Linked DNA regions of Danio rerio. The protein of the gene in region 1 purifies or fractionates together with the protein of each later gene. This does not show direct contact. Links are inferred from orthologs where the notes say so. Each region holds a gene or a part of one and is shown in the gene's direction. Other genes may lie near its edges. The genes, in order: ppp1cc, nup50, polr2eb, adisspb, ncoa5, actb2 and tox4a.

Region 1 (4,549 bases):
ACAGTTTTGCTCTGAGCAAGAAATAATACTCCATGATAACCAGATTCAACACTGTAGAGCTGAAAACTGAGGTTCTGCCCAGCCAAAGACAAGGAAAGAAGACGGAGCTGTACAAGGCCTGGATAATCATCAACAAGCAGAACTACTGCATTCTCACAGCAAACTACACCTGTACAGCAGGTTATGTGAACACACATTTCATTCTAGGCATTCAGTGTCCGCAGTTTAATTAACCATATTGAACTGTTTTTGCTGCAATCAAAAACCAGTAACGTGTCTGATTCAGCATAGCGTGAACTCACCTGATATAACATGAGAACTGCAGAGTCCAGCATTTCTAATTAGGTCCTCACTCCATTCAGCTCCCTTATAGCTAAATATGTCTGCAGTTGGCATTAAAGCAGTGTGGTGTACGGTAAATGTTAAGCTGCATTTGAAAAGTTGGATTTGGCACCCTACCGCACAACTATTACTATTGACACCAGGAACCCCTGTGACGTAGGTTGATAATTTCTCTAAATATAGGCTTAAGTTTTTTAATTTAAAACAACTTTGAACAGATTCCTTATTTTATGATGGATAATAATAAATTAGCATTTGAAAAAATAAGTATTTTTTCGAATTTCTTAGTTCAAAATGTTTAATTTAAATTCTAATCTCATTACATTATTTGTAAAAAGTAATAGTGTAAATTTTAAATGCACAGTTGTAAATAAACACAATTTTTTGTTAATAGTATGGTAAGCACTTTGACAAAAATATAGGAAAATATTTGTTGCGTCAAAAAGTATTGTAATGATAACCATCCGACAAGCTAATCCAAAAATTTGTGCTTAAAATGTCAATGTATTTGATAAAAATGAGCCGAATAGCTGCAAAAAGTTCCACTTTTTGAGAACCCTTTTAATAGGCTGGCTACGGGCCTGCATTGCAATGCTGTAGTATTTTTAATACCTAAATTAGCATGAATTAAATGCATACTGAGTAAATACCTTACCACAAATGACAAAATATGTAATGGTATTGACAGTTGACAAAGGATGAGGTTAGTTAACATGAAAAGTAATGTCAAATACTATAAAACTAGTTTTTTTTTAATGCCAAAATCAGCATTAATTAATTTCTAATGCAAAAATACTACAAATTAAATAATATTTTTTTTACTATAATGAATGACAATTGACAAAAAAATGTGGTTAGTTAATATAAAAGGTCATGTCAAATACTGTAAAACTAGATTTTATGCCAAAATTAATAATTTTTTATTAGGTTATTATAATAAATAACAGTTGACAAGGCATCTGGTTAATTAACATAAACAGAACTGTCAAATAATGTAATACTAGTACATGTGTATACCCGAATCAGCATAAATTAAATGCATAATGCAATTTTTTCAAATGAAATAATATTTGTATTAGGTCTACTGTAATAACAGCATGCCAAAAGACGTTGTTGGTTAAAATAAATAATTATGTTAATGTGTAGGATATGTTTTAAACATGTGTTTTTAAAAGTTTTTCATTGCAATTAACATTCAACGTCACACGTTATTGTGAAAGTCAGCGGCACGCCCTCCTCTTTCCTCCGCACTACTTTTCTTCCTTTCCTTTGTGTTCATCCGCCCTCCCGTTTCCATCAGCGGTGAAACCGAGCCGAATTGCGTGTCCTTCCGCAGAGCCGGTGCGCCACCGCCGCAGCACGCGCGTCTAACGGGCCCGCTCGAGCATTTTAATCTTTTCTTTTAGAGTTTTGTGATTAACCAGTTTGTTTTTAATCGAAGTCGTTTTATCTGTCGTGTCTGGTGTGTTTTAAGCGGTGGTGTTTGTGTTTTTATCGGCTAGTCATGGCTGACATCGACAAACTCAACATAGACAGCATCATTCAGCGCCTGCTCGAGGGTGAGTTTCAAGCCAAGTGACAGCTAAAATGTACTTTTAATAACATAAGTAACTATATAATTGCCATAAGGGTTGTGTGTGTATATGTATATGCTTGATCTATCAACTCTGTCGTTTTTATGGATGTTACGTTAGCTGAGCTAGCGAGAGTTAGCTGCGCATTAGCTCTGCTCACTGACACAAACGGCTGTGTGTCAAATACAGAGTTTTCTACATAGACACTATACTGATATATTTGAAGATTATATATTATTGGTTGGTTTCGAATGGACAGTACTTTTGACTATAAAATACACTCTGTGTGGGCAGTTCACTGGTGTTTGTGACACTGCCAAGCTGTACGCGCGGTTTCGGTGCTTCAGTAAACACATTACGTTAGTACACTGACTAATGCTGATATTATGATATTGAATACATATTTGAGCATCAAAACAGCTGTTTATTAGTGTACCACAGTCATTAAAATTAACAACAGGGCTTGAAATGTCAAAAGTGTGATTTCTAGCGCTAGGAAAAACAATATTTTTGAGTTCAACCCAAATTTATACAATTTGAGGGTGTCATCTCTATAAAATGTTTATTAAAAATCCTTGCTTTAATTAGACATCTTAAAACCTTATTTAATGACTAACAATATGAAACTGTTGAAAATGAGAACTTTAAAACATGATAAACTCTTAATTCTGATTGAATATGAACACTGTATTTGCTTATATTATGACTTTAAACATGTATTATTATTACATGTAAATATATTTTTTAGGGGGGGAAGGACATCACATCCTGTACAACTGCAGGTTATACAGTGTTCATACAGTCATGGAAAACCTGGAAAAGTCATGGAATTTTTACATGGCATTTTCCAGGCCTGGAAAAGTTTTGGAAAAACAGAAAAACCTACACAGTTTTAGAAAAGTCATGACAAATACTTGAATATAGGCTTTTCTCTTATTTTCTGTCCTTGGCCAATCACATACTCTCATATTATTAGTGCGGTGTAAGCATTATCTAAATTAATTTTGCATGGATATAAATTGAAAGTAAATGGATTGTTGCATGTTTTATGCTATGCTCTAATAAATTTGAACATGCATTGCTTTTCTTTTACCACGCATATGTAGACATTGCATGAAACATTAGGTCATGAACATTTACATGAAAGTCTTGGCAAAATCATGAAATTTTAGTAGTAAAAATGTGTATGAGCCCAACTATGTTTACAACATTTTAGCTTTTTTTTGAATTGACTGTAATGAAATGTGCACCTTTTGTAAAGCTGCTTTGAAATGAATTATTGTGAAAAGCACTATACAAATAGATTTATATTTTATTATACAATGAATTGTATCTTTGCAAAATATAATTGCTTTCTGGAATGCATTATAAAAGCAGCAGGTGCAATAAAGGCAGAATGATTATGCAAGATTTTATAGTTTTATTGTATACAGTGAAGAAATGCATTTACATAACATTTCTCGCTTGTTTAATTTTTATATGCAACACAGTTCATATTGGCAGATATTATTATTTAGACTAACATTAAATGTATTATTAAGGTATGTATCCTTCATAAGCGGGTCTGACTTCAGATTTAGCACTGCAGCAGCTTTGACCCATTTTTACTTGTACTTTCTGCAGTAGTGATTTCAGCATCATACACATACTGATATGCATGTGCTTTTACTTTGTCCTCTTACACTGTAAAAAATATATTAGTGAACAGTTTCTCTATTTTGTGTGTTTTGGGTTTATTTGCGGTGGCAAATTGCATTATGCTATGTTGATCTCTCCTCTGTTGTATTTTTAACATCAAAAGTGCACAAAGTGACTTATTCACATTTTAGTCATTTGAAATAATAATATCATGTATAAAAATAATATCTAAAGAAATAAGTCTGTTAAAGAATAGAAAATGTTTGTTACAATGTTTTTGTAGCGTAATATACAACACCAACCAGACAGTATATCACTTTAAGCTATTAAAAAAGTAAATAAGTCACTTTTTTTAACTTTACAAGGTTAAAAGTTGTTGGAGGAAAGTAATAATCCAATTCAAAAGCGTAAATAAATGGGGGAAAGTAAAAACATGAATCACAAAATACATAAAACTGCTTATTTAAAGATTTTTTATTGCTTAGGTTTATTTTTATGCAGTGTGAAATAATGGCTGCGCTAAAATTTTGACATTGTCATGGAGAGATGCTATAAATTATATTTGGGTAATAATAATGCATAATGTTTAATTATGATGCACCTTTCTAAGCTCAAAGCGCCACAACATTTACAAACATAAGGTTGCAACCAAAGCCTAAATTACAAACTTTCATAATCAAATCTCTGTATTAATTCACATCGCAATAATGAATAAAAAACAATTAAGCAAATTTATTTTTTAAAATGTCAGTGATATCACAAATGGGCAAATATGGCTCTAAATTTAAAATTATTTATTTTAAAATAAATATATTACCAGTATATTAGGAACACCCTACTCCTTGCATATTTTCTAAGATTCCTCTGTTAAATATTTTATTAGACTGTCCTGCTTTTAATGTTTGTAGAAGACTTTTAATGAAGTTTTAAATAATTATTCAGTAAAGATTTGACCGAAAAACGTTTTTGAATTTTTCTTATATATTAATGTAAAA
Region 2 (3,842 bases), on another chromosome or scaffold:
TTCTGTGCTGATCTGGGTCAGTTGGCATGAGTATGGTTTCATTTTCCACACTGGGGCTGATAACAGTTCTCTGTTATTTGATGTTTAATGTTAATAAAAATGCATTTTTGCCTTGGTAATGCAAGCGTATTTTAAACAAGAAATGTGAAAAAGTGGCATTAGAATAATGTCAATCGTGTGAGTCTTGTAAAATAATAAAAATTCGACATATATCCTCCTATTTTTATTTTAATTTGAAGCAAGCTAACAAAAAATACAAGTCATTTTGTAAAAATGTACAAAAAGTTTAAATTCTTCATTTAACAGTTTAATTGTTAATAGAAAAATATATTTGATTTATTATTATTGTTATTTTACATACGTGGTACCATGGCTCAATGCTTAGCACTGTTGCCGCACAGGGACTGGAGTCAGGAGTGTTTCTGTGTGGAGTTTGCATGTTCTCCGTGTGTTGGTGTGGGTTTCCTCCGGGTGCTTCGGTTTCCCTCACAGTCCAAACACATGCGCTATAGGGGAATTTAATTTACTAAAATGGCCGGGGTGTGTGAGTGTGAATGAGAGTGAATGGGTGAATGGTGGAAGGGCATCCACTGCGTAAAACATATGCTGGACTAGTTGGCAGTTCGTTCCGCTGTGGCAACCCCTGATAAATAAGGGACTAAGCCAAAAGAAAAAATAATAAATGAGTTTTAAGACTGTCTGGACTCGGCCGGACTCGGATGTTAAGGACTCGGACTTAAGTCCGACTCGACCCCTTTTGGACTCAGACTCGGACTTGTACTCGACTGGTTAAGGACTTGGTCTCGACTTGGACTCGACAAAGGTGGACTCGACCCCAACTCTAATATTTAGGAAGCAGCCCTTCTCATCACAGTAATTTGTTGTGTATTAGTACAGAAAACTACACTTAATTATCCATGAAGTAAGGGGTAAAGTACATTCAGGCGGTTGTTGACCGTTAACGAACACCTGACAATGCAACAGCTTCACACAAATGTATCGCATGTTCTTGCATTAATTAAAAGTTGAGCGTTTTAAAAATCGTATGTTGTATGCGTGACTGCAGTGCGCTGTGATTTGGCCTCATCTGCGCATTTGCGCTGTATCTCCTTCACTCGCCATGCTGAAACCCACAGAAACTCCCCACACACACACAGACACATGAGGAAATGTGATGTCAGCAACTGATTTACATACTTGGAGGTGATTGGAGAGGTCTTCGCATGTGCAATGCATGAGAAAGTGTACATGCATTCTAGCAGCACACTCCATTTCCGCATTACTGGATCTGTAGCGACAACAGACCGCAAGGGATGATGGTCAAGCATGGGCTGATGGGAATTGTAGTTTTCGCTACCTCCCGTTCGCTTCATTCGCCTGAGCAAATTTTCTCAGAAGACCTATAGTTTTACCGAGTCATGCGACTTCGGTAATATCGAAAAAATTAATATTGCGGTATGACGGTATTTACAATACCGTTACATCCCTATGAACTATAGATCACAGGACGCACCGAATTGTGAGAGGACGACGAGACAATACGTTTTTTTTACCAAGAGCCATTGCATCCCTAATTATGTATCTCCCTCTCTTCATGCACAGGTCCTTTAACATTCAGCAGCTCCACCCCCTCCAAGCCCACAGACGGTGAGGTCACCTCCAACGGCTCCGCCCCCAGCAGTAAAGAGTACAACCGGCAGCTCACAGCGCTGAACTGCTCGGTGCGCGACTGGATCACCAAACACGTCAACGACAACCCGCTGTGCGACCTCAACCCCATCTTCCGGGACTACGAGCGTCACCTGGCCAGCATCGAGAGGAAATACGGCAGCGGGGCGGCAGACGAAACACCAGGGAAGCCGCTGGCATCCTGTGCTGCGGCTCCGCAGACCGTCTCCCTCAAAAACAAGGACGACAAGCCTCCAGCAGAAAAGCCAGCAGCTCCTCCGGGAGTCTCCTTTAATTTCGGAAAGAAGGTGGACAGCTCGGTGCTCGGGGCGCTGTCGTCAGGTGGAGCGCCGTCGTTTTCCTTCTCCTCTTCGTCTTCTTCTTCTGCTGTGTTTGGCTCAGCCGTCAGTAGCGTCAGTAGTCCTGTGGTCAACTCGGACAGCAACAGCCAGACTGCAGGTACACGCTTGCTTTGCTTTGATGGCTAGAGCTGCGCAGTATGACTAGTTGAAGTCAGTATTGTTAAGCCGCCTGTCTAATTCAGTTCTTTAATTATTTCCCAGCGCACTTGTAAATGTATTGTTTTTTATAACTCATTTTGTTGTCATAATCACGACAGCACTTAATATTACAAGATACTAGTATTCAGCTTCGTGCAATTTAAAGGCTTCACTGGGGTAATTAGCCAAGTCGTTGGTTTACAGTGGTTTGTTCTGAAGACAATTCAGAAAATCTGTTATTTAAGGGATGATTAAACCTTGATTAATTAATCACTTTAGCTCGATTAGTTATTGAAGGATTTTAGCTGCGTCCCAAATCGCATACTTGCGCACTGTTCTACGCCATTTTGTAGTATAAATAGTGTAAGTAGTGCGTTCACATTGAAAACCCGGATGATGCTCTCATTCAGCCGCTAAAATAAAGTGTGTATAGCCCTTTTTCTTGGAACGCAAAATTACCCATTATGCTTTGCGTGTATGCTGCGCAAGGAGAATGCGAAGAACTTCCGGTCGGCAGCTGATGCGTGTAAACAGTCACATTTGCACAGCTTTGAAACGAGTTTTAATCTATGTTACCTGCTTTTATCCTCTTTGAACTAATACTGTTGTCCATCAGCAGCATCTCCGGGACTGATCATTTAAAGAAATGCGATCTAATAGGATGGAAAACAGCTGCTGTGAGGCGTTTTCCCCTGGTTGTCAGACGGCATCTTCTGCAGTTTAAATGAAGCCTCGTCATCGCTAAAGTCAACGTTTTCTCTTTATTTTAAATATATAACCAGCCCAAACTAATGTAATTCACCAAAATGTTTGACACACACACGTAGCCTGTACTGTGCCACTGACACACTGATTTAATAACTGTGACAAAGTGAAAATATAGGCTAGTGTCATTTCGAAATGAAAGAAAAACACAAACCGTGGTGAAAACAACACACAAAATAAAACACAAACGGCTCGCGATTAGAATGAACAGCAAATCAGCAGCAGAGGATCAATAACAGACTTTTATTGCTCATTTTTGTAAATTGCTCGACTTTCATACCTGTTAGGTTTCATGCCAGTACTCTGGTTTGCTCTCTCTCTCTCTCTCTCTCTCTGTGTGTGTGTATTGAAGAGCCGCTGAGCTAACAGCTGACAGGCCGGGAACGCACACACACACTATATTTCTGACGGCAGACACGTGAACTAGGAGAATGTTTTTCTCGTATTTCTGACGCGCTTGAACCACGTGACAGATTATAACGGCTTTAACAGACACATTTCTAAGTTGTGCGTCACAAAAACACTCTGCTATCTATAAAAACGTCATTAGCCGCGTTTCCACTATCGCGCCTAAAGCGAGCGAGCCAAGGCAAGTGGGGTTTCCACTGTCACTTCCAGGGCCTAATCGGGCCAAAGCGGGGCTTTCTTGGGGCCAGCGGCCGGCCTTTTTCGGCCCTCCGAATACCTTGGGCCAAGGAGGGCCAGCTGGGGCTTCGGGGCGGAGTGAAAGGAGAGGCGGGCAGTTTTCTGATCGCACATGAGTACATGCGCCAAACAAATAAAGAAATAAGGGAAAGAAAACATCTAGCCTTATAGTCTGGGGTCTTTTTGCGTATGATCACCCTTATGTTTCCCTTTTAAATGTAAGGCTGCTGCATACAATAATAAAGTAGTTTTAATTTATAGTGA
Region 3 (4,426 bases), on another chromosome or scaffold:
TCAATGTGTTTTACTCTGTTTTATATGTATATATTTTGAACATATTGTGAACTATTTTGTGAAAATGCTCTTAGTTGAAGTTAGCAATGTTATGTGAAGTTGTGAAGTTATATGAAGAGGGTGACTGACGTCACTTGTACGCCAGCTTGTGGTGAAGACAGGAGAGACACGTTTTGGCTGTCTTCTAATTTAATCCATCCTGCCAATTCTGCATAAAATTAATGTCCCAAATTGTTTTGCTGCATTAGCTAACTGACACTGGACTGTTCCATCGCGCCGCGGCCGCATTGGACTCGTGCAGGCAAGGGGAGTGGCTCGTTACATTCACTCCGTGAGGATTTCTCCCAATTTGGATGGACGCATGTCATCACTCAATCGTCAAGGATTTTCGTAGGAAACACATACACTGATTCACAGTCATTGAACTACGTTTTACATTACATTCAGGACTTTGAAGTTTCATATATATAAATATATGTTGAAATTGGGACGTTTAGACAACTGAAACTGTATTTTCCTACTTCTGTATAGTTTTATTTTTTTTTCAAAAAGGGCTGAATTGCTGTCAACATATTGTATTTTATTTATTTAATTTTGTTTGTTTTGAATACATGAGTATGTTTTTATAAGGGCTGAAAAGCAGTTCAGATACAGACCAGAAAATTTGCAATACAGCAAACTCAAAAGTATTTTCTTGTGTTTGGGTTTTTTTATTTTTTTTTATTTGAGCAGTTGGAGATTATAGTATTAATAATATGTAAAATTTGACCACACCATTCAATAATATATTGTGTCGTTAAGTTGAGATATCCCGAACCCGAGATTTCAAGTAAATTGTGTTGAAATTTCATATATACTTTAGAAAGCTCAGACCCAGTAGATAATTTTCCCCTTTTCAGTAAATCAATTTCATAGGTGGGTTACAATAAGACAAAATTAATGATCGTTATCCTTTTGTAAACCCTTTTTCAAAACAATTTATTAATTGTTCTAATCGATTTTGTTAACTTTTGAACACAAGCAGACATAACGTTACAATAAATGTAATTGACGTAAATCTACTCAATCAAAATCCTCTGGAATAATTGCTAATGTATTTTTTTAACCCTGTAACATTTCCTAAAACGCTGGGGACGACGCTCTATGGTCAAAATGAATCACTGAATCGCCTTGACACCGGATATTTGAACTGTTCGATTGAATCTATATTCAAACGATTCAAACCCTACGCACTTCTCAAATGCTATACAACTCTCTTTCCTTCCTTGTTCGTTTACATAAAACAAAATCAGTATTTAAAGAAAGCAATAGCTGTGATATTGCTTAGAAGTTGTGATACTTCTAAGCAACGCGCACTGTTTTTTGTACGAAATAAAGCTGCGCATTGTTTTTTTTTTTTTTTTTTTTTTTAAAGCTGCGCATTGTATCTACGCTGTGGCGTAACGTCTGACGTCATTTACTCGCGCCAGCAACGGGAAACAAACGTGGAGAAGAAGCATCACATTAGCGGATTGTTTTGATCGTCAAAATTTGGTATTAATCATATTTATAGCGCAGTATGGATGACGAGGAAGAGACATACAGACTATGGAAAATTAGAAAAACTATAATGCAGGTAAAGAAAGACATATATGCTTTATTTATAACGTTTCGCACAGTTTAGTGATGCTTGTTCCGGTTTACTATTGAATGGATTTCATGTCTTTTATAAAACCATACACATTTAAATAACAGAAATAACATGATGTAATAACAATGTTGATATTTAACCAACAGCTTTGTCACGATCGCGGATATTTGGTGACGCAGGATGAATTGGACCAGACTCTTGATGAATTCAGGAGTCAGTTTGGAGATAAACCGAGCGAGGGTCGACCACGACGAAATGACCTGACAGTCCTGGTGGCCCACAATGACGACCCGACCGACCAGATGTTTGTGTTCTTCCCGGGTATGTTTTATTCCGCAGCAGCCCTATTTATTTAACTAGTCCGAGATAACAAGGAGTGGTTATTAGGTGAAGTTGGTTTTATATTCGGACAATCTCCTTAATAATATAATTTCAGAAAAGTATTCTATGCTAATTCTAAACAGGGAAATCATATTAGCAGCCAGCTACTATCAAATACATCACTGTTAATTAAATAGTCAAATAGGGCTAATGTTGTTTTAAAGTCATACTTCCATGCGATTGCAGACTGAATATTCAAAGCATCATGGTAAAAATGGACAAACGTGAAACCAGCTTTACCTCAGTGGAGTGGTTGATCAATTTTGTATTTACGTTAAAGAGTTTAAATATATTGAAACTTCAATTTTGCTTTCAGAGGAACCAAAGGTTGGCATCAAAACCATAAAGATGTATTGCCAGCGCATGCAGGAGGAAAACATCACCCGCGCCATCATTGTAGTACAGATGGGCATGACACCCTCCGCCAAACAGGTGCAACTCGCACATTTACTAATGTTTACAGTTCTAATGTCGAGCACTTTACAAGATAAATACGTTTTTTTATCTCTCTCTGTCACATTTCAGTCTCTGGTCGACATGGCACCAAAGTACATACTGGAGCAGTTTCTTCAGCAGGAGCTTCTAATCAACATTACAGAACACGAGGTGAGGAGACTTAAAGTTATAGCTCACCCAAAAAGTGAAAATTCTGTCATCATGTACTCACCCTTGTTCCAAAACTGTTTGAGTTTATTTCTTCTGTTGACAACAATGTTGGAAAGCAGCAGCCATTGACCTGCTGTAGTATTTTTGTTCCCGTTAAGGAAGTCAATGGCTGCACGGTTTTTAATTCACTGGTGGAAAAAAGCACCTTAATGTTGTATCACTTACTGTTAGTCCAAAATCACATTCGGAGAACTATTATATTTTTAGCTGATGAACAATAAAAAAATCCACAGCCAATCAGAATCTCCTAACTTAAAAAGCCAGTTTACACAGAAATAACTCTTCTGACATCATTTAATCTCCGTCCACTAGTTTCTAGCGTTGAAGTTTCTTTCTTCTTTTGAACACAATGGGCTATATGCACACAGACTTTTAATATGGTTTCCGGTGCCTTATATATATATATATATATATATATATATATATATATATATATATATATATATATATATATATATATATATATATATATATATATATATACACACACACACACATACATGATATAAAGTGCTATAAAGCGGTGTGTTAAATTATTTTACCTCAGTATTTTGAATGGAGTTTCTGCGCTAGCCTGCTGCCATTGACAGCGCTAGCAGTTACACAGTCTATTATCTCATTTTATGCTTGAACTACTAAATGAATGCTTAAGTTTATTTAAGGGATTGTATTTCAATTACATTACGATGTTGTAAAAGCAACCTTATAAATAGTCACAAAAACCTTTTACTGTTGGTTTAAAAACACTAGCTGTTCATATTGCCCATTGAAGAATGATCCATTGAATTCCACTGTATAATTTGGTTCTTTGTGAAGAAAATCTTGTTTCTCTTGATCAGAGATGCCCAAACTCAGTCTTAGATGGTTTAGATCCAACTTGCTTCTGCACTCATGCCTGGAAGTTTCTAGTAGAGCTAGTAAGAGCTCGATTAGCTGGTTCAGGGGTTGGAGCCAAACTCTGCAGTGCCGAGTTTGGGCACCTTTTTTTTTCTTGATAATTAATATATTCATCATTTTTGTTTTGAGCACTTTTTTAAGATGCTTAACACTTTTATCTAATTATCCTTTGCAATAACTATGGTTTCATGTATTTCAGCTTGTTCCAGAGCACATAGTTATGACAAAAGAAGAAGTGACTGAGTTGCTGGCGCGGTAGTATCCTTTCATGAAAGATGCTTAAGTTTACAGCAGTGTTATTTTCATATTTCTATGGTTTAGCTCAACTTTGTGTATTATATATGTTTAACTCCAGTTGGATAGTTCACAGTACATGTAGGTCACCTTAACCAGCGCTTCTCCAGTAAGCTAAAGGAAAGCCAACTTCCCAGAATTCAAGCTGGGGATCCCGTTGCACGTTACTTTGGCTTAAAAAGAGGCCAGGTAGGAAATCAGCCCAATTTTTAGCTCATTTTGATTGACCGCAATCAGCTGATAGTTTGTGAATTTGTGTGTGTTTTTCAGGTTGTTAAGATCATCAGACCGAGTGAAACGGCTGGCCGATACATCACATACAGATTGGTCCAGTAATGTTGGTGAGCTCTTGTCTTTTATTAACCTTTAAATAAAGCGCTTCACTTTTTCCACATCTTTCTATGTTACAGCCTTATTCCAAAATGGGTTAAATTCATTTTTTCCATCCTCTACACACAGCACCCCACAATGACAGTGTGAAAAAAGATTTTATTGAAAATAAAAAGTACACAAGTATTCACAGCCTTTGCTGTAAAGCTCTAAATTGAGCTCTGGTAC
Region 4 (3,842 bases), on another chromosome or scaffold:
AGAGAAATATTAAAGGTACAGTACATGTGCATTTGTTCAATCTACAATATATGTGGCATAGTGTTGATTTCTCTGATTGGTACTGTCAGGAGGGTGGGGCCAACCTGTCAATCATGAGATCCACCAATCGCAAAACTCATCCACCAAACTTTGAGACCCGCACTGGATTGTTTACTAAGCTGTTTCTCATAGGCTGCGTTCCAGTGCAATTGTTTATGCACTTTGCTCGCTAATATCCCTCTGTCTTGGCGGATGTACATCATTGATTACTTCACACAAGTGTCCACTACTGGCGGAGCATCTGAATGGGTTTAAATGAAAAGCGCAAGACTGCGTTCCTGTTCACATTTAGACACACACTCGTGAACTTCCCTTCCCTTGTTCCCTCGGGGAACCCCCAATGACATTTAAAAGTGCGTTCCCCTTCATCAAGGGAAGCTTAAATGGGCACACCCTCGATTTTGAGAGTGGGAGCGAGTGGGTTTCATATGTCCACTCCAGCACCTACAGAGGTTGGACAATGAAACTGAAAGCCTGGTTTTAGACTACACTAATCCGTTAGTATGTTGTTGGGCCTGCTTTTGCAGCCAATTCAGAATCAGTTCATCTTGAGAATGACAGATACAAGTCCTGCACGGAGGCCAGAGGGATTTTGAGCCATTTTTATGGCAGAATAGTGTTCAGGATGAAAAGTTTCCAGACTTGCTCCTCCAAAACACCGCAAAGTGGCTCAATGATACTTGGGTCAGGCCATGGGAGATGTTCAAGTTTATTAAAAGACTATCACCAGTCCTGCTGTCTGTATTTGTACATTATCCTGATACATGGCACCACCTTCAGGATACAATGTTTGAACCACTGGATCCACGTGGTCCTCCAGAATGGTTTGATAGTCTTTGGCAGTGCCCATCTAGCACAAGTATTGGGTCTAGGGACGGCCATATTGCAGCCCAAACCATCACCAGCCGCGTTTTCACTATCGCGCCTAAAGCAAGCGAGCCAAGGCCAGTCACGTTTCCACTGTCACTTCCGGGGCCTGATCGGGCCAAAGTGGAGGCTTCCTCTGGGCCAGCGGCCGGCCTTTTTCGGCCCACCCAATACCTTGGGCTAAAGAGGGCCAGCTGGGGCTTCGGGGTGGAGTGAAAGGAGTGGCGGACTTTGCCCAAGTCTGTTAAAGATGGCATGCCGTCATTACACTAGTTTTGCGATCGCACCCAAGTACATGCGGCAAACAAATAAATAAATAAGTTGAAGAAAACATATAGCTGGTCAGTATAAGATGAGCTATTCCATAAAACACCTTATAGGCTACGTTTTTATTTTGCTTATGATCGCCCTTATGTTTCCCTCTTAAATTTAAGGCTTCATAAAATAATAAAGCTTTTTTTTTGTTGCTGCGTCCTCCTTGATGTTTCAATAAGGCTTAATAACCTTTACACCATATTAAAGACACAGCAGACAGTAAAGGTTGTCAAGAGTTTTTGTCAAGTTTAAAAGGTGTGTTTGTGCGCGTTTAGATGACTGTATGTGTTTGAGAGACCGGCTGGGTTTCTTTTTTTTTTTATTTAATTTGGAGATAATACACAATCTGAATACCACAGAAAAACATAAAACTTTACAAATTACATGCCCATTTTTTTTAAGCTCAAAACAATAGTGTCATATCTTAATAAATAGCCTAAGCTATATTGAAATAATTTAAAGAATTACAAATATCGGATATATTAAAATCACATTAAATGAATAAACCAATATAAAACAAGCAACAGCTAGCTATAACAATGTAGGTATATACAATACATAAACCAAACTGTTTTAAGCCATATATAAGTTTCACTTTACAAAGGCAAATCTGAAAAAAAAGATTTGAGATATTTTCTAAAAACAATAAACACCAGAGAAGGTTTAAAATATATTTATTAAGTATTTGGATACGCCTATATTTATCAAATCGTGCAAACAGCATTTTTTTGGGTGCGTGATAGAAGAAACGACCTTCTTTTCTGTCCTGCGCAGCGCCGCTTTACAAACGCATCGGGGAAAACTGCAAATACAAAATCCTCAATCAAGTGTTTATGTTTTTATATGACAAGGTGAAATTTAAAAATTGGATTTTAAATGAAGAGCTTTATTAGTGAAAAGCTGCTGAGCGCAACAAAATATCGGCTATACTTGCTCTTATGTGCTGAAACCACACTTAACTTAAGATCACAGAATAATATGCAACATCCTTAAATCACTGGCTCCCAGTTACATTCAGAATAGAGTTTAAAGTATTATCACTGCTCTATAAATCACTAAATGGCCTAGGAGCTCAATACATCACAGATATGCTCACTGAATACAAACCTAACAGATCACTCAGATCTTTAGGATCATAAAAACTAGAAGTTCACTCAGTTCACTAAGAGTTCAGTCAAAGCAGGGTGAATCGGCTTTCAGCCACTATGCTCCTCGCTGCTGGAATCAGCTTCCAGAAATGATCAGATGTGCTCCAACATTAGGCACATTCACTTCAAGACTGAAAACACATCTGTTTAGCTGTGCCTTTACTGAATGAGCACTTTGCTGCGTCCGACAGATCGCACTATTATGTCTTTCTTTTCTTTTTCATTATCTTATAACATATTTTAACACATTTGTATCTGTTTTATCTATTTATTTTATTTTATTTTTATTTTATTTTTATTTCATTTTTATTATTATTAGTTGAAAATTAATGTTTTCATTTTCTTACACTTGTCTCTTTTATTCTTGTTTATGTAAACCACTTTGAATTGCCACTGTGTATGAAATGTGCTATATAAATAAACTTGCCTTGCCTAAATGAAGGGGAATCACCTATTAAGTGTCAAATAGCCTATAGGGAAAAATGAATGTTTCAGGTGTCTCCAGAGCATTTGGGCTAAATGTTTGACGGCGTCTATCAAAACGAGGATGTTATAAAATACACTTCATACCGAGTTATTAACGGAGAATTTCTGTGGTTTTTAATTATGGTTGGGTGCGCTCATTTCGCTGGGTCCCTCCGTTAGTGGCGAGACCACTCTATTTCGATGCCAACAGTCGGTCGGTGAGTGTACAAATATAATAAATAAGAACACACAGGCCCGTTCATATAGACATATAATGTAATGCTGTACAGTAACGTTTGCGTGACACACTGCAAGCTACAAGCCAGACAGTGGAAGCGCGACATGATTTCCGCCTCACTACTCAACCTCCCGGGCGATTGGCTCGGCCCGGTAAAATCCCTGGCTCGCACTGGCCCGACAGTGGAAATGCGGCAGTCTGGGTGGTATTCTTTTTTGGGGCTTCTCCACACGTAACTCTCCCGCACTTTGAAATGCTGCTGGGGATTCCACCAGGAGAACAAGGAAGTTTGCGAGTGCATTATTAAAAGTGGATTGGAGCGCAGCAGAAAAGACTATTTCATAATAACATGTCTACAAACACCTCCCCCCCTCTCTTTATCAGACCGTCATCACGGGACTCCGATGCTGCTGGAAGGTGTGCGGTGCATTGGAGCAGAGCTGGAGTACGACTCGGAGCAAAGCGACTGGCAAGGCTTCGACTGATCGCCCGAAACTCACTTCAAACTTCTCAATCCGTGCCACATATCCGGTTTTGGCAGTGACGGAATATTCTAGATTCTGGAAGTCTGTCGCCGGCTGCTCAGCAATGTCTCTGCTTTCTGCTCAGTGTTTGGAAAGGGCACTGTGCTTTCTTGGTTTTACTTACTGTTACAATAGAATGCAGGAATGATCTGTTTACTGTAGCTCTCTGTGATTTCTTTTTTTTTTTGTATTTCAGGTTTGGAAACAAAACAATCAAATAGCCTG
Region 5 (4,398 bases), on another chromosome or scaffold:
TTAGATTAGTTAGGTATTCAATAAGCGTTTACAGCAGGGAAAATCAACTCCTGATGTACAAATGCAAAAATTAACAAGATCCTGCACTCCTTTCTTACTACATTTTAGAAAGTTATCGGGTACTCGGGTAAAAATCTATTTAGAATATTTTATACATATTAAAGAACCTTAAATAATTTCAATTATTGTAATTTACTGTTTGTTTGTGTTAATGTAATATTTGTGTTTTTGCCATAATGATATGGCAATAAAACAATAAATAAGTACAATGTTTACTTCACAAACTGTAGTATTTACTTTTAAGCTACTGTTGAAATGCTTATAATTTAAACAAACAAATGATGCAGAACAAAGTGTTTCTCTTTTGTTAATCAAACACTCGTTTGGCTCTGAAATATTTCCGTCATCTGTCATGTTGAACGTTTGGATTGGTTTATTTTCAGATGTAAATATGGCAGCTGAGAGACGACAGAATAAATCCAGATCAAGTCCTCCACGCAGGTAATGTATCGCTGGGATCTTTTTGCTACTGAAGACGACATCTATCGAGAATTTTGGTAACCGTTTTCCCCTCCACACCGGAATTCACCAATATCGCAATATCATTGTCGGGTGCGCAAAATTGGTTCAGTTTACATTTCTCGTGGCTTTTCGCTTTTTAGTTTGTTCAGTTTTTTTTTTTTTTTTTTCTTCCAATTTTCCTTTTAGTTGTATCAGAATTAATTGAAATAAAGTTGAAAGGGTAATTTGAGTGCATTTCCCTTGGTGTGTTCTTGTCTAAACGGTGTGTTATTCATTCTGTTCACTTACTATGCACGGTTTTCAAACAGTTACGGGTTCTCGACACTCCAATTATCACTTCCTAAAACATAAAAAAAAAACAATTTCATTTACTTGAATGGGATGTAAAGAACTGAACAGTAATTTAAACAATTTCAGTCGTTCACTTAATGGCTGGATTTCTAAGTAAGATTTTGGAGGTTGTCAGGTTGGTGTGTATCTTCCAGTCACCACCTTTGTCTGTTCATCACCTCTGCTTTAAAACTATTATTTTAGCAAATCATTTTGCTGACGTGGATCGGAGTGGAAGCAACAAAAATGTGCTGTTTGACTTTGTTCAAATGCATTTTATTTAGCAAAAAATGTAAATAAAAACTGTTTATGACTCGTGGAAACTAAATATTAATGATTATCACAAACAGATGAGGTTCGACATGTAGTTTAATTTAGGAAAGGGTTATATTTAGAATGTGCGACGGTTCGTTTTATAAAATAAATGACGTGAATTTTGCGACGGGCATCACTCATGCTTGTACGGTACAACAAAACAAAATGTTCATTGTGTAATTTTACCATTTGATTTTAATCTTGTAATCATTTTGAAGCACTTCAAAGTAAATTTTAGTAGTCTTAATAGAGATTAGTTTTGGGGAAACGTGTTTAGTTGTCATGTGTTGATTGAGTGTATTTATTCTGTTCAGGCCATCCAGCTCTTATGGGGAGAGTCGCGAGCCCCGTCCTCGCTCTCGGTCCCCGGTGCACGCACGAGATTCTCGCTACCACCGTGAAAGTCGAGAGATGAGGGCCAGCAGCCGTGAATCGCGTCCCTCTTCTACACGTGAACATGAGGATAGACCCCCAGCTGAAGAACGATACAGGGGGTCTGAGAGCAGGGAGAAAGAGCCTTCCTTAAGGTGCACAAACAGGACATATAAAGGAGTCATGAACTGAGAAACCAAAATACCCTTGATCTTTTGACATATAAGAGGTTATCATACTATTAAAACATCCAAAAACATTTCAGAACTCAAAACTGAAAACTTGTGGCTTGTTTAAAAGCAGCTTGCATTAAAAGGCAGTCTAAAGAAACCACAGGTTCTGGAATGTTCTCCTTTATGATGTAATAGGGTGGATAAGCTTTGCCTCTGTAGAAGGTTGACTTCTGATTCACTGCCTGTTTAGCCCTGCTAATATTCAAAAATGTTAGCCATCAGAGCAGTGGGCTTTATCCAAAAAGTGTACATCCATTATCAGAAAACAAACAATGCTTTCTGATGAAAGGGTCAAAAACAGGACAGAAAAAAGCCAATCGCTTTTTTAAAAACTAAATAGTGAAGTTTTTATTAAAAGTCATTGAGTGGATCTCAGTAGACAAGAGTGCAAAAAAAGTAGTTCATGACCCCTTTAAGATTGATTTGGTAATTTTGTTCCTAAATTTAAGTAGTTTTCCTGTCTAAATGTACAGTGTTTTTACAGAGAGGAAGGTTATGATCGTTATTATCGTGGAGATTACGATTATTATCGGAAGAAAGACGAGGCATACTCGGATCGATACAGAGACCCCTGGAACGGCAGAAGAGAGCCAGAGGGTGGGTTAATAACACTTTTACTAATATTTTTTATTCTTAAAATAAAATTGGTTTGTTGCATGAAGTAAATTGACATTTTTGTGACAAATGTTTACACCAAGTAGTGATTTTCGTTTGCTGCATAAGTTGTAATGAAAATATGGTGCTGCAAGTGCTACTCTAATTTTTCTGTTCAAATAACTGACAAATGACAAAATGGGTAAGGTTAGATATTAAGATATTCATAGAAATGATTGGTTTTAAACAATTTTTTCTTTTAGAAATTGAGTGTTTGCATGAAGTGAAAATGACTATTAATGGATGACCAATATGATATGACAGCAGGGCTCGAAGTTGCGACCATTTTGGTCGCATACGCGCCCGACATTTAATCTATGCAACCTCATAATATATTTGCGAGCATTTGTGCGACTGCATATAATGGGTGTAGTGCGACCTGTTTAGATTTTTTTTTTCTAAAAACGTGCTGAATCGCTCTTCTCTGCCGCTATATTGGTTCATATTAGCTGTCAATCACTCAAGACTTTCCGCTGTCAGATGACTGGGAGCTTTTGTGACCGCGGGTAATTCAAACGACTGAAGAGTGAAAAGTACACTGAATCTCGATGCGTTGCATTCACTACGTGTTCAGCACAAATGTACGATAAATGTAAAATCTAACACTTTACACACCATCACCAAAGAAGCTCAGCTTTACTAAGTTTAAACTGATGCGGCTTATAACAAAGAGCGGTATTGCACCAGTGGTCATCGGGAAAATCCTGCTCTGCCCCCTCATATATTGCATCGGCTGACTCACCTGCTTTCCACAAACACAGAAAAATGAAAATCAGCTCATAACGAAACTGAACATTAAAATGACACAAACCCAAACTTTTAAAAGAGAGACTTTTCTTACTTTCTTTTGTCTGTTCTTTCGTGAGATGTATATTGTTTTTCTATTTAGTTACTGTTGACTGCTTTGCAGCTTTTAGCATTGAATGGAATGATTTATTATAATCTTTCGTTTGTTTTGTAGCAGAAATAGTATTTATTAAATTGACACGCATATGAAAACAATAGTGCAAAATAAATATTTCTTACTCAAATGCTTCTTTTGTGTTTGATGCAAACCATACATGTGTTTTTCATAAATTAACAGTGGGACTTTTATAGCAAATAACTCGCACTCAAGCACATTCAAGGCTGCATCATAATGAGAAATGTAAAGCATTGTTAGCATCATTGACATCATCGTTATCATTAATATTTTATAATTATTAGACATTCATTTTGGAATTATTGCACAAATATTAAGTCATCACAGCATTAGTTAGATAGTTGTTTCTGCTTTTTGTTAGTCCTAATTGATGTTGTTTTCAAATACAATAAATCCCTTAATATACAATTTGCAATGGTGCTCATTCATTTTTGGTGGGTGCTCCTACATTTTTTCTGAGGCTTTTAAATATTTAAAGATGGGAGCACCAGTGCTACCAAGTAAAAAGGTTAATTTAGAGCCCTGGACAGGGCTTCTCAAACTTGGTCCTGGATGGCTGGTGTCCTGCAGATGTTAGCTCCAATTTGCCTCAACACACCTGCACAGATGTTTCTTGAAAGCCAAGTAAATCCGCGGTCACATTAGAGTTTGAGCTTGCGAAATTCTGTCGTACAGAGCAGCGATAAGGGGTGGGATTAAACAAGATGATTAGACAGTTATAAAAGCAAGCGATTGGTCCATATTTTACGTTTCTGTGCAGAGAGGTCATGTTTGAATTTTCGATTCGTCTCGCACAGTCACGTGATGCAATTTCGCATGTCTGACGCATTCGCGTGCATACGAATGGATGTCTATGGGGGAGAAAAGTCCAGTGTGACCGCAGCTTCAGAGCTTAATTAGCTAGCCCAGGTGTGTCTGATTGGGGTGGAACTAAACTTTGCAGGACAGGACCGAGTTTGAAAACCCCTGTGATACGATATAATTCAATTCAATGCTTGCTAAGTGTTTGTTTCTGCATTGACAGAAGAGCGCATACGTCCTGAAGAGCGG
Region 6 (4,386 bases), on another chromosome or scaffold:
TGGGAGAGCTTTGGTATCAGAATTGAGATAAGAGACTTTGGCATTCTAAAGGACAATGACATTATCACACTGACAGTCAACAACACTTTATTGCTCTGGAAATCTTATGTCATGGGGCAAAGCTGAGGTTCATTAGGACAGTACCTTATTTAGAGATGAATGGGAAGGCTGTAGTGGGCTGCTATCAGGGAAGGGTGGTGGTCCTCGGGGGAACTATGGACTCACAAAAGCACATCTGCTGTAACAAGATCCCCTGTGCAATCTACAAAAGTTACAAAGAGAAGCATGGTTGGTTAAAAAATAGAATTGACTGGATATGCTGAATGCATTGTTTGTTGTGTGTTACATCACATTAACCACAGATTGGTGCTAAATATTTGCTTATCTTATAAAAACCTGTGTGTTTATAAAGGGGGGTGTGGATGGATGCTTGGCATTCTTTGAAAAGATGTTGGGGGATGGAAGGAGGAGACCTTATTGATGAGTATCCAGTTTGCAGATAACAAGTTTTTAGACATTCATACTATGATGCTGTTTATGTCTGTTTTTTCTCATTTTTTCTATACACAAACAGCTATAAAACATTCACTTTTATATCTGATGCTGTATATTAAATTTCGTTGTATTTATTCTGTTTGCTCTGTTGGGTCATAGCTAGGGCCAGACAGAATCTGCTGACATTTTTTGCTTTTTCTGCAGAGAATTTTGTAAACAATCTGTGATTTATGCGAGATTTTTTCGGGAGTATCGTAACTAAAAACTTACTATATGAAATAAAAAAAAATAATACCTTTTTAACTTTTAATAAATATATACAATGCAAGTCCACCTAGATCCAATTATTTGGTCGACAAAGCAAGTCTCTCACATAATATATCTTCTAAAAGACAGAAAACATTACTTTCAGACCATATTGTAATCAAATGAACACTTTCATATTAGTCAATAATATTACGGAAATGTATTTAAAAACTGAATAAACATATATTTACACCTTTGTCTTTATTTCTAGAGTGCTTTTACAATGTAGATTGTGTCAAAGCAGCTTAACTTAGAGGATTAGTATAGTAAATTGAAACTGTGTCAGTCCATTTTTTAAGAGTTTAAGTTCAGTTCAGTTTAGTTCAGTGTGAGTTAATTTTTACTGCTGAGAGTCCAAACACTAAAGAGCAAATCCAAATACACAAGTCAATAAATAAACTCAATGATGGGCTAAAGATCTGGGGAAATCTGCAGATTTCTGTGCGCACAGATTCTGTGTGGGCCTAGTCATTACCTATACTCAACGTTTACTCTGAGAAACTTCCATATTTTAGAGGTAAAATGCTCAGAATTGTAAAAAGTCTTGTCAAAATACTTGGAATTTGCCAAAAACAAAATAAAAGTCACATCACCTCATTGTCCTTGGTATCAGCAAGCACTTTTAACACAATCAGCTGTTTTTGTTTATAACTCCCACTGAAGGCCATGTGCATTACTCCCAAGTTACACAGTAAAAAGTCACATGTAGTTTATCATGATCACTGCTGCTCAAGCACAGCTTTATCTGTTATTCAGTGTGGCAATATCTGAAATGTGTGCAAAATATTATTTATTGTAGCTGATCACCAACACTTTCAGTGTTTTTTTTTTCTACTTTTAATGAGAATTATGTTCTTAGGATTTATCCTTATAAACCTCTTTAAAAAGAAATGTTATGTCTGCATAGACACGACATGAAATTATGAACAGAAAATTTAACTATTTAAGATCAAGACTTGACATATAACATTTCTAATGAACATTAAACCTGAGGTAGGCCCACTTGCAAAAATGTAACTGCTATCACTCACTTTATACATCATTGTGTAACTTGTACACACAAAAATAGTGAAGCAATGTGGCATGGAATGCAGGTCCCATTCATTCAAAGTTATTAAAGCACTTTCTTAAAGTGCATTACTACTGAGCTAAGACCAGCTAGTTGCTCATACAACATACTACAAGTAGTGTCATCCTAATTTGGATAAAAAAAATGTCCATTTTATACATGGAAAAGTACTCATTAGATCCCCCATTGTTTGTATTACGGTATTTCGTGAACACAAGAGGTAAATGACCTACAGAGCTGCTGTTGTGTTAGATTGAAAACACAACACAGGATCATGGAGGCATCCATCATTATGACGCATTCTGCCACTTGTAACTCTGCACAGACTTTTTGAAAAGTTTAATTGAGTCTTGGCGTTGTCGCAGAAAAATACGAAAAATTCTGTGTTAAAATTTGCAAATAAAAATTCCAGTTTTATAGGAAATCGCCATGGCCTTGTTCTTTAACCAGTTAAGCTTCCCCTTCTTTCACTCTCAAGTTGCAAGAAGCAAGTGTAGCAATGTGCACGCGACAGCCGGGTGTGTGACGCTGGACCAATCAGAGCACAGAGCTCCGAAAGTTTACCTTTTATGGCTAGAGCCGGGTATGTGCCGTCATATAAAAGAGCGCGCCCAGCTTTTCAGCCTCACTTTGAGCTCCTCCACACGCAGCTAGTGCGGAATATCATCTGCTTGTAACCCATTCTCTTAAGTCGACAACCCCCCAAACCCAAGGTGAGTTGGTTTTACAGTTTTTAAGCGTTTAATTATAGTTTCTATCTATTAATGTTAAGTAAAATGTGTAAATGGATAAATATGATTTGATGAAGTCTTTAGACAGTTCATAACGGTCTCTTTGTAGTTATCTACTAGGTTTGATTTATAAGTGGTGGTTCTTTTGATAATCTATGTTACATTTAATAAATATTGGCTGTATCTTAACTTTTTTGTAGCGTTAGTGGATGTGGCAGGTGAGAATGTCGGTAATTTAACGTGACCAGTCGTAGGCACGACATTGAACATTGAATAGGCCGGTGTGAAATGGGTGTTAAGTCTTAATATAAAGTTGTGTTCTGGCTAATCTCTCTTTAACAGCCATAAATGTGATTTTTAACTACAGTTTTGAGGGTGCTGGTGAGCATGTTGCACACTTGATGGATAGCCGGCATGGGAAGTTCTTTGTGCAGGCAGTGCTGCAGCAGGGTGTGACCTACTTTAGCTAGCCGGCTAACCAGCTCTCATCTGATGTAACGTAAACCCCATCAATCTAACATCGGCTCATTCGTGCTTTATAAGATCGAAGATCTTGTTATTAGTAACGGGTATTGGCATTTAGTTTTAACTTGGTTAATTTTCTTTTTGTTATGTGTTCTATTTAAATGTAGCCTGCAGCCCCCTCTGTCTTTAATGAAGCTGAAGATTAACGTTAACGTTAGTGAAGTGTTGTATCCGCTATGAAAGATTTGAATTTTAGAGGTGTGGTCCACTTTAATAACGGCTGCGGAGTTCTCTGGCTGCACTTCAGCCGCTGTGACTGTCGAAGCAGAGCCCATCAGTTTTTCAGGATCTCGGTGATTTTTGAGGCTAGACTATGAACTGAACCGACTGAGAGTGACCGTCCAGAAATGCTTTAGTGTGAAGTCTCCGCTCACGAGGAGTCCGTGGACTGACTGCAGATCTGTGACGCAGTAACACCCGGCGGCAGACACCCGTTGAAATGCGGTTGTGTAATTGATCGCAGGCGAGGGTGGAAGAGGATGTGAAACTTCATTTGTGTAAAATTTAGGGAGTGGTCCTGGTGTGATGAATGTCGAAATCTGTTCCTTTTTACTGAGCCCTACGACTCTGGCTGAGTGCCACACCGCCGGCAGCCGCAAAGCGGCTCAAACCATTGCCTTTTATGGTAATAATGAGAGAATGCAGAGGGACTTCCTTTGTCTGGCATATCTGAGGCGCGCGCTGTCACTAGCGCCCACCAGCGGTCAGACTGTAGAATGCAGAGCAAAACAGGAAGTTGACTCCAGATGGTCACATGCTTGCTGAAACGCCTCTCCCTGGCAGCAGTGCAATTCTAACAGTTTCCCTTTCTTTTACAGTTCAGCCATGGATGATGAAATTGCCGCACTGGTTGTTGACAACGGATCCGGTATGTGCAAAGCCGGATTCGCTGGAGATGATGCTCCCCGTGCTGTCTTCCCATCCATCGTGGGTCGCCCCAGACATCAGGTGAGAAGACCGATTAGTTTGATTCTGACCCAAACTGAGAACTTTCTCAAGTAGTTCACAAAATGTAACGCTTGTGTCCTTGCATTACAGGGTGTCATGGTTGGTATGGGACAGAAAGACAGCTACGTTGGTGATGAGGCTCAGAGCAAGAGAGGTATCCTGACCCTGAAGTACCCCATCGAGCACGGTATTGTCACCAACTGGGATGATATGGAGAAGATCTGGCATCACACCTTCTACAACGAGCTGCGTGTTGCCCCAGAGGAGCACCCCGTCCTGCTCACAGAGGCCCCCCTGAACCCCAAGGCCAAC
Region 7 (4,358 bases), on another chromosome or scaffold:
CACTTTGATCCAAAAAATCTGGATTAAACTGATCCCATCAGAAAGGTGGATTTCATGCCCAAAATGTAATGTAAAATGTATCAAATAATACTATATTTGGATTATGCAGTATGTAACAAGGTATCCTATTTATTCATAAGGTTTTAATTGTATTTGTTCATCCGTCATGCTACAGTCATTAGGTAGGCTTTAACGTATTCAGTCTTACAGTATAGGCCTACAGCAAAGTAGAAAGAGTTTGGCCTCATAAAAAAATCCCCCAAACAGCTGTCAAAACTGACCAAAAACAATACATTTTATTCTGTCAATATGATCATATTGTATATTCATCACAATGGAAAATATTTTTGTTTTAGAATATTTATTAGTGATGCATGCAATGATTACAGAATAATAAAAAAAATGCAAAGAATGACAATCACTGATATTTAAATCACTTTCAACAATAGCAAAAAGAGACTGAAAGGGCAGAAGCACAGCTTCATCTGGCAGACTAACAACTGACTCTGACCAAACTGCAGCAAACCAAGACTAGACCTGAGATCCGCCCATAAAAGAAATGACAATGCCTGTACTTTGTGTGTATAGTATGCTGCTAAGTCTTACTTTTTGTATGTTTAATAATAGAAAAATTACGATGCCTGTTTTTTATTTATATTGTTTGCAAATATAGACATCAGTTAACATCTTAATGAAATTAAAAATATCCAGATAACACAAACAAAAATGTAAATTTATGAAATAGACAAAATTAAATAGACATAATTAAAACAAAACAAGATATTATGTTGTAATGGCTTGGGGAGATTGAGAAACTACATGAATTTATTCGTTTCAAATTCAACAACGCATAAGGCCATAATTGCTGTTGTTTAAAACGTTTTTTTTTACAATTAAATAACTAACCAACCTCTTAAAGATGGTTGACAACACTGACTGTGACTGGTCCTGCTTGAAGTTCGCTGAGAAAAGTAACGCCAGCCTTGTGAGTTGTGATGATCACAGTAGTAAAGTAAAAAAGTGATGGTGGCCGTGACCATTGAATGAATTACATAAAGTGTGGGGAGTTAAAAGAGAAAAAAATGCTCCACATTACAGGAACCGCGCGGGTCGTGTTAAATACTGCCAGGAGAAGGTTTTCAGGATTTGGACACAAATGAACTTATGACCGGAATGCGATTAATAAGACTTGCAAGTTGCAAACAGACAAACATAGCAGAGTACCGATCGAATCGGTCCATTTTAGCACTGGCAGAAGCTATCCATGCTAGTGAGACTCTCTAGGCAAACTTTGTTTGTTCAATCTGAATATATATTAAAAGTGTACAGTTTATAGTGTTATTTAATGGAATGTTGGATTTTACATTCAGCGAACAGGCGAATTCTCTGCCCTCGAGGCCTGTGTTATGAATGAAACCTCATGTTGGGGTTTAACAGCAGCGCTTCTGCGAACTAGCACGAATTAGCCAGTTAACGTTAGCTCAATTTGTTAGTGGCTAAATTGGTAAGCCTTCACCTACCACTCATCATAAACGCTTTTAACGGCTCTGGTTGTATTAACGCTGCTCTGTGGATCGTCTAATGAAGTTTATTGACGTTATTCAGTCGAGCAGCACAAACCTTATGCCGAACAATACAAGATGCTGTGTTGCTTGGCTCTTTTCTTTTGCTGACTAGCATTATTTCCCATTCATTATTTGTATTTTTGGTTGCTTTAGTCTGTTGCTTTTGGAATATTAGCAGCCCACTCGTTCCTCATATCAAGAAACCCAACAGACATTATTTATATATTTATCTAGTATTTATAGTATCCTCATGGATCTGAATTTTTACACGGAACTCTCTGACGGGACCGGTCAACATGTTGATTCCGAGTTTATGGACAACTCGTCCTACAATGGATATGATTCAGTAAACAAGGTAAGTCTGGCTGCTTTGTGTGTATATATATATATATATATATATATATATATATATATATATATATATATATATATATACATACATATATATATATATATATATATATATATATATATATATATATATATATATATATATATACATATACATATATATATATATATATATATATATATATATATATATATATATATATATATATATTCAGTTCAACGTAACTATATAATAAAACGCGTTTGCATGTGGTTATTGCACCTTTTAACATCCGTTTATTAGTTTGCAGGTGGCAGTGATTCATACCTGACCACCAGTGGACCTGGTCATCATTTTCTTGAGGTAGTGCTTCTTTTTGGACTGTTTTCTGAGCTAGCTTAAATTGACTAAATGTATTATTTTAAGCTTTACAGCGTCAAAGCATGCAATATAATGTTATATATCTTAATTTGTTTCCATTAGTGACTAAAGTGTCTCTGGATTTATTTAAATTTTGTGATCAAAAGATGACTATAAATCTTTTTACCTTGTTTTATAAAATACACCATATAAAACGTTAGCACATCAATAGTTTGTGTTAAAATAAATGCTTGTCAGGAATATTTATAACAAGACTTATATTTATAACTTGGTAAAATATTAAAAGTCTAATAATGATCACACAGCAGCCCCAACATGCATTTATAATTACTGTCTCTCCTTTAAACTTTTTAGTTTTTTACCCAAAATAAAAAAAAGTTTGCAATGTTAAAAAATGATTATCTCTCATCATTTTATATATATTTTTAATTGGCACAAATTTGAAAAAGTATGTTGTTTAATTTTTATGAAATCAATGTGATGATTTTGAGACATTATTTCACTCATATTCTCAGATTTAATTTTCAGAAAGATCTTCCTAATATTAAAGTAGACATTTAAGTGTAATATGTTTTGATATCTTTAATAAATTAAGTTTGATGCAGGCACTAGAATGGGACATCTTGTGTATTTTTTTATATACATGTTTTTATATTTTATTTCTGAAAATTTTTATGCAACTTTCTACCTTGCCATAAAAAAATTAGGTTTTCACCAACATAGCGAAACTCTTTCTAGGTTTTGTTTGTCTAGGCTTGTATTCAACAGGACTGCAAAAATACTCAAAGATGTCTCTGTCAATATTTTCAAACAATTATATTTGATTTACCAAAGTCACACAAGTGGCAAGAGATGTCACATCCATAACAAAGATTTTTCCTTATAAATGTGAAAATATAAAATAAAATCAGTCATTTTTGTTCTATAGAGAGCAAACATGTATTCTTTTGATCATCATTATTTCTTTTAGATTGTCCAATTTAATTCACAGAACTTGTACAAAGTACGTTGCATACTGTAAACTTTTTTGGTCACATCCATCACGTATGTTTATTTTCCTCATATAAAATAAACAAATGTTTACAGATTGATATTTTTCTGATCCCATAACTCTGTGGTGAGTTGTTTTGGAAAATATAAACAGATGTTTTAACAAAGTTAATATATAATTTCTCTGTGAATTTATGTTCTGAGATTTTACTGCAAATGTCGCATCCATAGCGCTGGAATTGCTCTTATGTCTTTATTTTTCATTTCAGAAAACATTCTATACACCCTGTCTGGGTGATGAAGAGTTCGAAATCCCAATCTCCTTGGATCCAGACTCTGCTCTCACCATAGAGGATGTGGAGGCACATTTTGGAGAGCTGGCCGAACAGGCTGAGAGCTCAAGGGGTGCTGGAGTTGGAAGTGTTCTTGCCAGTAATACTGTAGTTGGGGGAAATGATCCATCTTTTGCCTCCACCTTCATGAATCCCTCATCTCAGGGTATGGAGCACCTGACTTTGGGTGTGATGAACCAGCAGGGCGGAAGTGCACTGCTGAGCTCAACTCTGGGTGTGGTAAGCTTTTCTCTTTCTAGCAGTGGCAGCAGTGTCTGCATCGTGTTTGCTAAAGGAAATCCAGCACTTGTTTCTAATGGATTATAAAATGCTAGATAGGGCTGCATGATATTGAAAAGATCTGACATTGTGATATTTTTTTCCTGCGATATTTATTGCGATTTGAATACATTTTAACCAGATGGCTTGAATAGCTCTATTTGGAAAGAAATCCATTTATTAGATTGATAAGGGTTGTTGTCAGATAAATAAATACAAATACAATTAAAGTATTTTTTTTCTTTCTATTTTTAAATATTATTAGTTACCATGCCAACTTTAATGTAATACAGTTTGGTATATTTAGCTTCGGCCCAGCACCCTTAATCAAGTTTGGTTTTTGGCCCTTCGTAAGAAAGTTAGGGCACCCCTGGTTTACAGGGAATTTAGGCACAAATCTTGTAACATGCCCTATGACCCAATCCTACTTGTTCAGTAGTCGTTTTTAAGTGCATGCATGAATGAGTATTTCTAAAAATT

Evidence for each region.
Region 2: the proteins of ppp1cc (region 1) and nup50 purify together in Homo sapiens (affinity purification with mass spectrometry; 3 studies listed by BioGRID and IntAct, with this or other methods). This does not show direct contact. The link is inferred for Danio rerio from reciprocal best matches to the Homo sapiens genes PPP1CC and NUP50.
Region 3: the proteins of ppp1cc (region 1) and polr2eb purify together in Homo sapiens (affinity purification with mass spectrometry; 4 studies listed by BioGRID and IntAct, with this or other methods). This does not show direct contact. The link is inferred for Danio rerio from reciprocal best matches to the Homo sapiens genes PPP1CC and POLR2E.
Region 4: the proteins of ppp1cc (region 1) and adisspb purify together in Homo sapiens (affinity purification with mass spectrometry; 5 studies listed by BioGRID and IntAct, counting the BioPlex papers as one, with this or other methods). This does not show direct contact. The link is inferred for Danio rerio from reciprocal best matches to the Homo sapiens genes PPP1CC and ADISSP.
Region 5: the proteins of ppp1cc (region 1) and ncoa5 purify together in Homo sapiens (affinity purification with mass spectrometry; 3 studies listed by BioGRID and IntAct, with this or other methods). This does not show direct contact. The link is inferred for Danio rerio from reciprocal best matches to the Homo sapiens genes PPP1CC and NCOA5.
Region 6: the proteins of ppp1cc (region 1) and actb2 purify together in Homo sapiens (affinity purification with mass spectrometry; 3 studies listed by BioGRID and IntAct, with this or other methods). This does not show direct contact. The link is inferred for Danio rerio from reciprocal best matches to the Homo sapiens genes PPP1CC and ACTB.
Region 7: the proteins of ppp1cc (region 1) and tox4a purify together in Homo sapiens (affinity purification with mass spectrometry; 4 studies listed by BioGRID and IntAct, with this or other methods). This does not show direct contact. The link is inferred for Danio rerio from reciprocal best matches to the Homo sapiens genes PPP1CC and TOX4.

Annotation. Positions count from the first base shown.
Region 1 is NC_133180.1:2,464,124-2,468,672, forward strand, and holds the start of ppp1cc (serine/threonine-protein phosphatase PP1-gamma catalytic subunit A), read left to right. Parts: upstream 1-1,664; 5' UTR 1,665-1,846; coding exon 1,847-1,901; intron 1,902-4,549. UniProt on the Homo sapiens protein: Protein phosphatase that associates with over 200 regulatory proteins to form highly specific holoenzymes which dephosphorylate hundreds of biological targets.
Region 2 is NC_133179.1:72,000,117-72,003,958, forward strand, and holds part of nup50 (nuclear pore complex protein Nup50), read left to right. Parts: intron 1-1,602; coding exon 1,603-2,127; intron 2,128-3,842. UniProt on the Homo sapiens protein: Component of the nuclear pore complex that has a direct role in nuclear protein import. Actively displaces NLSs from importin-alpha, and facilitates disassembly of the importin-alpha:beta-cargo complex and importin recycling.
Region 3 is NC_133197.1:17,299,103-17,303,528, forward strand, and holds the start of polr2eb (DNA-directed RNA polymerases I, II, and III subunit RPABC1), read left to right. Parts: upstream 1-1,467; 5' UTR 1,468-1,558; coding exon 1,559-1,615; intron 1,616-1,776; coding exon 1,777-1,951; intron 1,952-2,327; coding exon 2,328-2,443; intron 2,444-2,536; coding exon 2,537-2,617; intron 2,618-3,773; coding exon 3,774-3,832; intron 3,833-3,978; coding exon 3,979-4,057; intron 4,058-4,138; coding exon 4,139-4,204; 3' UTR 4,205-4,209; intron 4,210-4,426. UniProt on the Homo sapiens protein: DNA-dependent RNA polymerase catalyzes the transcription of DNA into RNA using the four ribonucleoside triphosphates as substrates.
Region 4 is NC_133182.1:8,747,249-8,751,090, reverse strand, and holds part of adisspb (si:ch211-74f19.2), read left to right. Parts: intron 1-3,477; coding exon 3,478-3,578; 3' UTR 3,579-3,842. UniProt on the Homo sapiens protein: Adipocyte-secreted protein (adipokine) that acts as a key regulator for white adipose tissue (WAT) thermogenesis and glucose homeostasis at least in part through activation of protein kinase A (PKA).
Region 5 is NC_133181.1:58,120,859-58,125,256, forward strand, and holds the start of ncoa5 (nuclear receptor coactivator 5), read left to right. Parts: upstream 1-1,370; 5' UTR 1,371-1,481; coding exon of another isoform or gene 1,482-1,578; coding exon 1,579-1,694; intron 1,695-2,256; coding exon 2,257-2,369; intron 2,370-4,372; coding exon 4,373-4,398. UniProt on the Homo sapiens protein: Nuclear receptor coregulator that can have both coactivator and corepressor functions.
Region 6 is NC_133178.1:39,482,158-39,486,543, reverse strand, and holds the start of actb2 (actin, cytoplasmic 2), read left to right. Parts: upstream 1-1,255; 5' UTR 1,256-1,268; intron 1,269-2,493; 5' UTR 2,494-2,583; intron 2,584-3,944; 5' UTR 3,945-3,951; coding exon 3,952-4,074; intron 4,075-4,164; coding exon 4,165-4,386. UniProt on the Homo sapiens protein: Actin is a highly conserved protein that polymerizes to produce filaments that form cross-linked networks in the cytoplasm of cells.
Region 7 is NC_133177.1:41,101,514-41,105,871, reverse strand, and holds the start of tox4a (TOX high mobility group box family member 4-B), read left to right. Parts: upstream 1-1,234; 5' UTR 1,235-1,815; coding exon 1,816-1,920; intron 1,921-2,199; coding exon 2,200-2,259; intron 2,260-3,536; coding exon 3,537-3,839; intron 3,840-4,358. UniProt on the Homo sapiens protein: Transcription factor that modulates cell fate reprogramming from the somatic state to the pluripotent and neuronal fate. In liver, controls the expression of hormone-regulated gluconeogenic genes such as G6PC1 and PCK1.